Linked DNA regions of Cricetulus griseus. The protein of the gene in region 1 binds, or shares a complex with, the protein of each later gene. Links are inferred from orthologs where the notes say so. Each region holds a gene or a part of one and is shown in the gene's direction. Other genes may lie near its edges.

What was found. Proteins that work in one complex are often made in the same cells at the same time.
Region 2: Taf1b (region 1) and Polr2h share a complex: the UniProt entries of both Homo sapiens proteins name them as parts of the pol I pre-initiation complex. The link is inferred for Cricetulus griseus from reciprocal best matches to the Homo sapiens genes TAF1B and POLR2H.
Region 3: Taf1b (region 1) and Tbp share a complex: the UniProt entries of both Homo sapiens proteins name them as parts of the transcription factor SL1/TIF-IB complex. The link is inferred for Cricetulus griseus from reciprocal best matches to the Homo sapiens genes TAF1B and TBP.

What each region holds. Positions count from the first base shown.
Region 1 is NC_048600.1:27,151,102-27,154,601, reverse strand, and holds part of Taf1b (TATA box-binding protein-associated factor RNA polymerase I subunit B), read left to right. Parts: intron 1-1,611; coding exon 1,612-1,768; intron 1,769-3,500. UniProt on the Homo sapiens protein: Component of RNA polymerase I core factor complex that acts as a GTF2B/TFIIB-like factor and plays a key role in multiple steps during transcription initiation such as pre-initiation complex (PIC) assembly and postpolymerase recruitment events in polymerase I (Pol I) transcription.
Region 2 is NC_048597.1:67,932,157-67,936,439, reverse strand, and holds the start of Polr2h (DNA-directed RNA polymerases I, II, and III subunit RPABC3), read left to right. Parts: upstream 1-1,483; 5' UTR 1,484-1,825; coding exon 1,826-1,898; intron 1,899-2,875; coding exon 2,876-2,959; intron 2,960-3,204; coding exon 3,205-3,298; intron 3,299-4,283. UniProt on the Homo sapiens protein: DNA-dependent RNA polymerase catalyzes the transcription of DNA into RNA using the four ribonucleoside triphosphates as substrates.
Region 3 is NC_048595.1:294,445,530-294,449,029, forward strand, and holds part of Tbp (TATA-box-binding protein), read left to right. Parts: intron 1-1,306; exon of another isoform or gene 1,307-1,311; 5' UTR 1,312-1,422; coding exon 1,423-1,476; intron 1,477-2,392; coding exon 2,393-2,763; intron 2,764-3,500. UniProt on the Homo sapiens protein: The TFIID basal transcription factor complex plays a major role in the initiation of RNA polymerase II (Pol II)-dependent transcription.

The sequences.
Region 1 (3,500 bases):
TGTGCATGTGTGTGTCCAACACACATATGGAGCTCAGAGGACAACTTTCAGGAGTCAGAGTCTCTCCTTCCACCATGTGCATCCTGGAACTTGAACCTCCAGAGTTGGTGGCAAACACCTTAGCCTGCTGAGCTAGCTTGCTGGCTCCACAATGCTAACTCTGGAACTACTGTTCCAAATCAGAAATTTGATCCCCAAAAGGGGAAGACAGCTAATCGCACTTCTCCAGCCAGTAGATTCCTTAGTTAACTGCTTACCTGCTGTTCATCCGTGTACCTGGAAAGACCTCATCCTCATCACTGAAGCTCTGTGTGTGCTTTTAAAACAGTAGCTCACTATGCTGCCTAGCTTGGCCTCTGACTCACAACCTTCCTGCCTCAACCTTGACAATATTACAAACATAGATTTGTGTCACCACACCTGATCAGTGTGACATCTTGATTTCTTTGGCAAACTGTCCCCTTTGCCATCTCCTTTGTCTTGGCAAATGTCTTCATTCTTGTTGCATAAGCCAGAACCTAGGATCATGCTTGTGTTTTTCTTATATCTTATACCAGCCATTGCTAAGCCCCTTGACTCTGCCTTCAAAATCTGCCTCAAACCTGACCACTTTTCATCGTCTGCAGAACAAGTGCTCCTAGCCAAGCTCTTGTCCTTCTGTCCTGAAAGAGAGACCTCCTCTTCCCATCCCAGCCCTCCTGTAATTTCATCTCTGCTGTGGACCGGATAGTAGTTCCAGTCAAAGAGCAAGGACATGTTGCTCTCATGTTAGAGCTCTCCATAAACTTCTGTCCTTATGTAGAATGTAATCCAAAGTAAAGACCCTGATCCTGAAGCTCCACACAGTGTAGTTCCACTGTCTGTACTGTAGTCTGCTACTTTTTGTCATTTGTAACCCTCCCACACGTGCACACAGGCACACACACATCCACACATACCCACCCACACTAACACACACACATACACACCTTTTTGCTGCTGTTGGCCTGTTGGGATTTTCCTTCAAGGTAGAATTCATCAGGTTTGTGCTCAGATACCACCTTCTTAGGGAGGTCTTTCTGGCCATCCACTTGCCCCTCCTACCTTTGGATGCCCCTGCACTGCCATTTTCCTGAGTAGCACTTTCCTGTGTGCATTGTGATGTTTGTTTATTTATAGGAGAGGGGAGGCATCATTCACTCTCATTTCCCCAGACCCAGGGGAGTGGCTCAGAGTGAGATCCATCCCTATTTGTAGAATGGACAGTGTCCACTTGAGGAACCTGGCGGGTGGAGGGTAGGAGAAGGTACTGCCTCCTTCAGGGGCTCCCGGAGAGGCCTCTCTGAGGACATCACACCAAGGACTTAACATACTTTCAGTGTTCTTTGTAATTGTTCATCCTTTTATTTTAAAAACAGTTTGTGTTGGCTATTTACAAATTTACATCTCTTCAGAATTTCACTCCACCCTGCTCCCATAGATAACCCTAAATGCCTGTTAGCCTGGTTCCCTTCTAAAGCCTTCATGGACTTTCACTGCTAGATTGCTTATCCAAAGTGAATCAGTTATGATCTGTCTTGAATGCCCCGTGTTTTGTTACTCGGTTTTTAAAGTCTTACTTTGTTCCTAAAGAAGCAGCAGATGTCTGTTCCGGATCTGTGGATGGAGTGGAATACTCGGAGTGGAAGGAGAAGGGTGTCCTGAAGATGACTGTGCCCAGGACCCTTGCTCTCTGCTACCTGTCTTTGCTCTGGCAGAGAGAGACAATTACCCTTTCAGATCTTTTGAGGTGAGCTGAGCTGACTTCCTGATCATTTGTTCATGGTTATCTGTGGGAACTTAGGAGCAGCCTCTGGATATTCCTGACTTTACAGGACAGACCTCGGACTTCGGGAAGTGTGTGGGTTACTTTTCTCCTTGTGAAAGAGAACTGACAAAAGCAACAAACTTAGGAGAGGGAAGACTGGTGCTGGCTTGTGGTGGAAGGGGATACAGTCCTCCGTGCTGGTAGTGGGCTCATGTCAGATCACTGAGTAGAGGAAGGGATGTGACTATCTTTATTCCATTTCTCTTCTGTATTGGGTTCAGGGCCTAGTCCATGGGGGTGGGGCAGTGCCACCTGCATACAAAGTGGATTTTCCTTTAGTTAAACCTCTCTGGGAACTTTTCCCCAGACATGCCTGAGGTAGATGTGTAACCTAGACCAGTTCAAATTCAGTCAGACTGACAGTGACCCTTAACCCCACTGCATGGAGCTTGGGTTCTCATTCTTGAAGTTAATCGACTTTAAGTCTAATAATTCAAGTCTTTACTGATGCAGTGGAAATGGTAGTGTTCTGTTCACGTGAGATATTAGAAAGTTAATTATCTCATGTGAATAAAGTACTTTGAAGAGAAAGTTGACATTAATAGTGTTGTATAGACATCTTAAGTATTTTTCTAAGAAAAGATGAACAGGGATCTTTTACTAGCAAAATGGCCTTTAGCAGTTATATAAAACCATGTATTGTGGCTATAAAAACTAAAATATAGGCAGTCTGTGTATTAGGAAAAGTTGATATCAAAACTATAGAAAGACCTTGTAATGCAGTAGTAGGCTTTTACATATTTCAAGGTAATCTAGAGAATTTTAGACAGAAAGACTGGCCTAAAGAAGTAAATGCCTGAGATAAAGCCAGCTCTGTTGTACAGGGTTTTATAACTAATGAGCTGAGTGTATAAGAATCAGTCACTTACTAGGCAGACCACAATCATTAATATGTTCATTTCTCCCTTCCCTTATATGTGTTGTGAATAATAACATTGAATTTAATCAGTACATGGAATGCTTACAAGGGCACAAGTTTGAAGCCAGACTTCTGGCTCTGCCAATTCGTCCTCACATGACGTTGAGCAAGTCAGTAAATGTCTGTTTCTGCTTCCCTCTAGGTAAAATGGGCTATACTAATAATGGCATCTTAGGGTTCTAGCCACATTGGCCATTGGCAGTTAGAGCAAGTCAGTAGAGCCCTGGCTAATTGTGATTATTTAGTTTTCCCTATCACCCTCATCCTTGTCATCATCATCATTATTGGCACTTGGCCCTTTTATTAAATAGAATGCTTCTATCAGCCTGGTCTCCAGAGTGAGTGCCAGGATAGGCTCCAAAGCTACACAGAGAAACCCTGTCTTGAAAAACAAAAACAAAAACAAAAACAAAAACAAAAAAGAATGCTTCTAGTTAATGATGATAGTGCCTTTGACTTGGCACATTAACCAAATAACCAAGCTTTTCTCGGGTATGAAAACCACTTGTGATTCTGAGTTGAATATTGCCTTGCTTTGCACCCTCACTAGATGACATCATCTTCTCCCAAGACTCTAATTATTATCTATGTGCCGAAGACTCCCGATTCTGTATTACTGCCCAGGCTTGTCTAGTGAGGGCCCAACCCATATATTCATTCATCTGTGTAGCTGCCCACTGGACATGACTACCTGATGTCTTTATGGTTGGTTAAGTCTGTATGACTAAAAAGTGC
Region 2 (4,283 bases), on another chromosome or scaffold:
TGCGACGGTCCCCGGGCGCGCGCCGCAGGCTCAGCCTCTCGCTAGCGTCCCCTCCTTGGCGGGCGGGCCGAGGGCGGTGCCCTGCTTGCTGCTCCGCCCTGGCCCATCTGCAGGGGCGTCCGGTCGGGCTGGGGTCTGCATTGGAGCCGCCTCCTGGCCTCCGGAGAAGCGGCAGGGGGCGCTTGCAACGCGATCTTGCACCCCTTCTCTGGGGAGGCCGGGGGCTGACCCGGCCCCGAGAGGGTGCGGGGCCGGACGGGGGCGGGTCCGCTGGCACGTGGAGGGGACGGGCTCTCGGGCGGCTGCAGCGTTGTGCGGGAGGGGCTGAGGATGTAGTGACTCCAGGGCTGGGGCAGGGGGCTGCTGACGAGCTATCTCGGGCTCTCCAGGCCAGACTCGACTGGGGCAGCCTCTGCTTCGCGTTTGCTGGCGGCTCAGACGGGTCTGGGAGGATTCCTGAGAGCCCGCTCCCTTATCGCCTCCCTTCCTCCTTTCTTCTTTTCCTCCGGGTTCCCCCGGGAAGGTGCACCTGGAACTGCTAGGCCTGGAGATCGGGGCGGAGGTGGAGGTGGGAGGGGACGGGAAGGGGTGAGGCCCGAGGGAAGGGAGCTATTGGTGCGGGGGAGGCTGCTCCTGGGAGGCGGGCGTGGGGGAGCAGAGGTCGCTCCTCCCAGGCATCGCTTAAAGGGGGAACTTGAGTAGCTGCTGACGCCTCGAGGAAGCGGCCCAGTGAAGCTCTACGTTGTCTTTCGGGATCCTTGGAAGGATAAGAACAGTGTGGCGTTGGCACAAAGAGGATGGACAGCGTTAGGTTGGTGCCACTGGAGAGGACGGTGCCCAGAAATCCGTGTAGAAAGAACAGCATCAGGATGAAGACTCATTCAGCAAACAGAGGGTGGTGCTCAAGGGGAGCGTACGGTGCCCAGTACGGGGGCTGCGATGAAAGGAGATAGCACCTGGAAAGAGCGCGCTGCGAGCTGTCGTTTCCCAGGGAAAGGCCAGTGTCGGGTGGAAGCGCACTGGATCAGTGTCCAGAAGAGGGTAGTGTAGTGGGGTGACAGGCAGTACCAAGTTCAATTGGCAGTGTTCTAGGGGATCAGAGTTAGTGCCAAGCAGGGCCAAGGGAAGACCGGCGTGGCGAGGAGGTGAAGCCCCAGGCGAGGGCACAATGCGGGCTTTCCTTTCCCTGACAGTGACATCACGGCAAATTCCCAAACCGGACGGACCCGGCTCGGGTGACGTCTAGCTGGTCAGAGCCAGCTCGGACCAGCGTGGGGAACCTTGGTGGCCGTCCGAGGGGCTGGGCACTGCGTCCCGCTGGGCGGGCGCTCTGCGGGTGGAGTTCGGCTTCACCCTCCTGCAGCACGGACTGTGCCCTCGGCGGGCACGCGGACCGCAGGGAAGGGCTAGGGCCGGGCTCCCTCTGGGCCAAGGATCAAGGTTCCTGGCTGGGTCCGGTCCCGGAGCCTTCCAAGCATCGGGATCCGGGGTCTGAAGAGGGCGCCCTAGAGCCGGGCGCATCGCGGTACCCGCCGGGGGTGGGACTTAGTCTGTCCCCGCCTTGGGCGGAGTCACCGCGCTTTGAGACTCGCCCACAAGGTCCGAGCCACTCCGAGGTGGCCTTTCCCGGCGGAAGTGAAGGAGCCCCGAGGGGAGGCAGCGGAAGTGGCTGCGTTGCTGAAGCCTGTGCGCATGCGCCCTGCGGCTGGTTGCCGCTTTTTGGGGCGGTACTCTGCCCTGTCTTCTTTTCTCCACGTGAGGGGGTGCGCGAATTCCCAGTGGTGGCCGCGCGCTCCGCACCTCTGCAGTTCTCGTGCCCCTTACGATGGCGGGCATCCTGTTCGAGGATATTTTTGATGTGAAAGACATTGACCCAGAAGGCAAGAAATTTGACCGAGGTAAGGTGTGTAGGGGAGGTGAGGAAGAGGCCAAACATGCCCACCCACCCCAAGTGGCCCGTCCCACCCTCTCGGTACCTCCCTCAGGAAACAGTGTTTTTCATAATGAGAAACTTGGGACAGCTTTTCCTATGATGTTTGCGGTGTCTGGTGCCTCGGTGGCCCTTGGCTTTGGGGTTGGGAAAGCCCTGGACACCTTTCTGACTCCTTATTCAGTATTACGTGCTGTATGTACCGTGCGCCTCTCTCGCACACTTAAGTATTGTAGTAAGAAGTGATGGTGCCCGATCTATTTTGTTACTTAAGGCCGTGCAGCGAGTTACCTCCCTGTCTTCCTAACCCATAGTTTTGTATTGCCCCAAGAATTGTTAGCCCTTTGCCGAGTCCTCTATAAATTTCATGCAGCTGACTGCTTGGTGTATTCATTTCCCAGTAATCCGGAAGTTGTTTCTTCTCAGTGTCACTTTACCTGGAGACAGACCCCCCCCCCCCCAATACAGATTCTCTTTGTAGCTCTGGCTGTCTTGGAACTTGCTTTGTAGACCAGACTGGCCTTGAACTCAGAGATCCACCTGCCTCTGCCTCCCAAGTGCTGGGATTAAAGGCGTGCCCCCCCCATTTTTAAAGACAGGTGTCAGTTCTCAATACACCCTGCCTATTCCCTCCGCAGAGTGCCTACTAGGAAGTGGGGATCTCTGGACTAATGACTATCTTGTTCAGAGTTGAGTTTAGTCTAAATCATCCAGGTGTGCTTAGAGCCTAGAGACGGGTTGCTGCCAGAGAAGTTCTGCTTCTTTCTTGGGATCCTGACACTTGCTGAGGTGTTTACTCCCTTTCTTCTCTGAATCTGATTTGGATTGCACTCTGTGTCTGTGTCCCAGAGCAAGGCTAATGGCTGTGGACTAGTTGAAAGATTTGTTCTCCTGCATTCGACCCCGACTCTGTTGCCTGTAATTATGTCTGTCGCTCTTTCCCAGTATCTCGGCTGCACTGTGAGAGTGAATCTTTCAAGATGGACCTCATCTTAGACGTGAACATTCAGATTTACCCAGTGGACTTGGGTAAGTGTCCAACACAGGAGCTAGCAAGTGAATTTTTTTGTTTGTTTGTTTGTTTTTCGAGACAGGTTTTCTCTATGGCTTTGGAGGCTGTCCTGGAACTAGCTCTTGTAGAACAGGCTGGTCTCGAACTCACAGAGATCCGCTTGCCTCTGCCTCCTGAGTACTGGGATTAAAAGCATGTGCTGCCAACGACTGGCTTTAGCAAGTGATTTTTATCTTTGGTTTCCGCTTGATGCTCTTTTCAGGTGACAAGTTCCGATTGGTCATAGCTAGTACTTTGTATGAAGATGGTACCTTGGATGATGGTGAATACAACCCCACAGATGACAGGCCTTCCAGGTGAGGCGGTGGTAAAGGAGGGACTAAATAGATAAGTAGTACATAGAATGGTCTTTATTTTACTGCTAGAAAAAGACATTACTGCACTTAGAATTCACACAACCAGAACTGGGTGTGATGGTTTGTGTCTGTAATTCCAGAACTCGGGAGATGAGGCAGGAGGATGAGGAGTTCAAGAACACCATTGGCTGCACATCAAATCTGAGACCAACCTGGGCTGGAGACCCTGTCTCTAAAAAATTTGAAAAAAATTTCAAACAACTGGCTTGATTACTTAGTGAGAGCAGTGAGTGGAAGCTTGTGAACTGCAGTTGTTTATTTATTTGAGACAGGGTCTCACTTTGTAGTCCTGGTTGGCCTGGACTATGTAGACCAAGCTGGTCTCAAACTCACAGATGACATCCACCTCCTCTGCCTCCTCAGTGTTGGAATTAAAGGTATGTACCACCACACCCTGCAAATGTAGCTTTTTTAAGGCCTAGAAAATGATTACATAGTAACCTAGATTTTGGTGTGACAGAAAGACTGTGGAGTATTGGGTCTGGTGGTACACACACTTAATCCCAGCATTTAGGAGGCAGAGGCAGGAGACCTCTGTGAGTTTGAGGCTAGCCTGGTCTACATAGCCAGTTAGGACAGCCATGACTATATACTGAACTTTTACTTCTCAGCTCCACTACTTCCATCTTCCATTTCCTTATCAATAAAGTACAGACAGTCATTTCTAGTTCACTGAATTGATGTGAAAGCCAAATAAGGTTGCGCTTCCATGGCATTTGTTGTTATCAGTTTCTATTTTAATTATTTCTATCTTTTTGGTTTTTCGAGACAAGGTTTCTTTGTGTGGCCGTGACTATCCTGGAACTTACTCTGTAGACTGTCAGGCTGGCCGAAAACTCACAGGCCTCTGTCTCTGCCTCTGCCTCTGATTCCTGAGTGCTGGGATTGTGCCACCATGCCTGGCTCAGTTTCCATTTTTAAATGT
Region 3 (3,500 bases), on another chromosome or scaffold:
GGTCTGCATGAACTGACTTGATTAAAACAAATGTCTTTAAAGAATTGGGGATGGGCATTTGCCTAGCATTTATGAGACTATGTTCTGTCACTACCATTACCAATTTAAAAAAAAAAAAAAAAAACTTTACATAGTCTCTTATTCCATATGCATATTGAATATGGCCACTAAAATGATGATTTATGAAGCCCAGTTCCAGGCATAGTTTTCATTAGTATGTTCTAAGGAGTTAAGAATAAATATTGTATTTATAAAATTGATGTATCATTTATTGTTTAATCTGTCTTTAATTAAAATTGGAACACAAAAATGATTACCTATGCTAAAAATGATTACACAATATGCTTATTGTGTCCAGTTCAATATTTGTGGCACTTTATGCTTGAGACATTGTGAAGGGTATAAAACTGAGAATATTTAAAAACCAGCATTGACCTAATAGTGCTGTATAAACACTGCTTAAGAAAGTATTCTCTGATAATACAATTTGCTTAGGAATTAGTTTTCTCTAGGTGTTCCCCCATACCAAAAACAAGTTCTTTCTACCTGGCCACTAACCAGGTTTATTGGTTTATTCATCAACCAATAAGAGAAACATATACACAGAAGGACATCACCACATCATCTCCTCTTTTCTAAATAAAAAGGGTTTTATCCTTAACATGGTAAAATTACATATAACAAAACAGTTATCAAGTAAGAACTATAGTTACAATATTTAGTCCATTAACATTTAGCAAGATTTAAAGAAAATATTCTATCTATCCTATCTTTGTGAGTCTAAAGTCTTATGTGTAACTTATCTTTTATCATAACTAAGGAAAACAGTAACTGTAACTATTTGTCTTCAACTCCATCAAAGACCATAGAAGGATAGTATATAAACTCTAGAATTGACAGAGACATCTCACTGCCTGGTCAATCACCCAAAGTTCCTCTATAACATTGGAACATCCATCTTCGGCCCATAGGCCATAGTGTGTCTGACAGACTTCTCAGTGAAACAGGAAATTTTAAACTGTCCTTCTGTATTGGCAGACATTTCCATGAAGCAGGAACCCTGCAGGACTGTCCCATTTTGTTTCAGCAGTTCAGCAGTCACTTTCCTGTGGGCACTGCATGTCCACCATATACGGTATACAGGCAAACAGTCCAGGCAAGAGCAGTTTCTTGCCCAAATAGTCATGTCAAAAGCAATAGGCTTTTGGGATTGAAAGATAAATATATTTCTCCAGGATAGATTTTGTGTGTGTATGTTTTGTGTGAATATGAAACCTATTTAAACTTAAAGCATTTTTCCCCCAAGCACAGCATCACTGTTTCATGGTGTGTGAAGATAACCCAGAAAATTAAAGGAGTTTCAAAAGAGAATTTGCAGAGGATGCTCTAGGAAAAGTCTGAGTACTGAAGACAGTGAGAACCATGGACCAGAACAACAGCCTTCCACCTTATGCTCAGGGCTTGGCCTCTCCACAGGTAACAACAGGAAGGGGGGACAAGAAGGGCTGACAGAGAAGGTGAAATTTAACCATCCAGTAATGGACATGGATTTGTATGTTTCTCAAGCTTGTTTTACTTTGTGAAAATTTATGCTGTGGATAGGCATAATGCCCCTTTGCTTGGGAGTTTATTTAGAAGACTGTTCCATCTTTGTGAACTGTAGAACATTTATTTCATTTGCTTCAGGAGGTTCCTTCTAGACCCTCTCGCAGTCACTTTCCTAGCCCAAGATGACAACCAAATCTGCTTTCCAAAATTAAACATGTTTTGATGTAAAATGTATGTGTGTATTTGCAATAGAATTAAACCTAAATTGTTACTAATTTAGTATAAATTTTGCCATTTTTTCTTTCTACTTCCACATAAATAATTACTAAATCTAACAATGTTTGTAAGACATAGAAGCATTATAGAAAAGGCAGTTAACAGTATTTTATAGGCTTTGTTGATTTTTGTTTTTAGTAGAATAAATAGCTCTTTGAAGTATCATAGAGTATACCATGAGCTTGTCATCTTGAACCTCTAGGTGACTTTGTGATCCATCATCCAAATGGTCACATGTTAAGCTAGAGGGTAACCCTCATATACTGGGTAGCACTTTAAAGGGACATGTACCTTTGATTTGTCCTTATGGTCTAGATATGCTTGGGAGGCTAAGCATCTTTCTTGTATATCATAAATAACAGATTAGAGATGCTAAAGTGCTCAGCTACTATATTCAGTACTACAGAAGAAAAGGGATGCATCTCAGGATAGCAGATTCTTCCCAATATTTAATGACCTATTATATTCAGCAAGCATCAGGTTTTACACTTTACCTGGGTTCCACTAGGAAAAGAACCTGTATTACTCAACATTAATGTCTTAAGCATTCTCTTTTTGCTTTCCACAGGGTGCCATGACTCCTGGAATTCCCATCTTTAGTCCAATGATGCCTTATGGCACTGGACTTACTCCACAACCTATTCAGAACACCAATAGTCTGTCTATTTTGGAAGAGCAACAAAGACAGCAGCAGCAGCAGCAACAGCAGCAGCAGCAGCAGTCTGTAGCAACTGCAGCAGCCTCAGTACAGCAATCTACATCTCAGCAATCCACACAGGGTGCCTCAGGCCAGACTCCACAGCTCTTCCATTCTCAAACTCTGACCACTGCACCATTGCCAGGCACCACCCCCTTGTACCCTTCACCAATGACCCCTATGACCCCTATCACTCCTGCCACACCAGCCTCTGAGAGCTCTGGGATCGTACCACAGCTGCAGTGAGTACCTCTTACCTTGTTTGCTCATGCCCTCTCCTCCCCTCCCCCAACGTGTGTGTGTGTGTGTGTGTGTGTGTGTGTGTGTGTGTGTGTGTGTGTGTGTGTGTGTGTGTGTGTGTGTGTGTGTGTGTGTGTGTGTGTGTGTGTGTGTGTGTTTTCCTTGTCCTCTGCACCAGAGGAAGCTTTCAGTGGTATTACACTATTTGCTTTCAGTCTTACTTAAGGAAGTGACCCAGTGGTAATTCTGTTACACTGCAGCTTCCTCGGCTTTTGGCAAGGAATTGAAGCTACAGTCAATGCTCTCAACAAAACCTTTCCTTAGAAATGGAATTGCTTGTGTTTATGTGTTTGAGTCACTGAAATGAAAACTGAGTTTCATCAATACTGTGGACATTTCCCTGTAGCTAATTGGCTGAGTCACAGTGCAGTTGTTTTCACAGGCTTGGCCATAATGTTAGCAGAGTTCTTAAGTCCAGATTTTTCTACAATTTCGCTGTGAGGGCTATATTTTATCTTTGGAATTTGTGTCTCTCTTTCAAAGTGAGGATAGCAGTTCTTGTCTTGATACATTTTTCTGCCTAAGTGAAGTAGTTCCCACGTGTGAAAAGGTAGGAGATACAGGCTTTTTTCTTTCTTCTGAAACAACCAAATCTAGATACTCCTTAGTAAGAAGTATGCAGCTTTACTTTAAGGAAGCTTATGTCCTGATTAAAGGGTTCATTGCAGATGACAACACA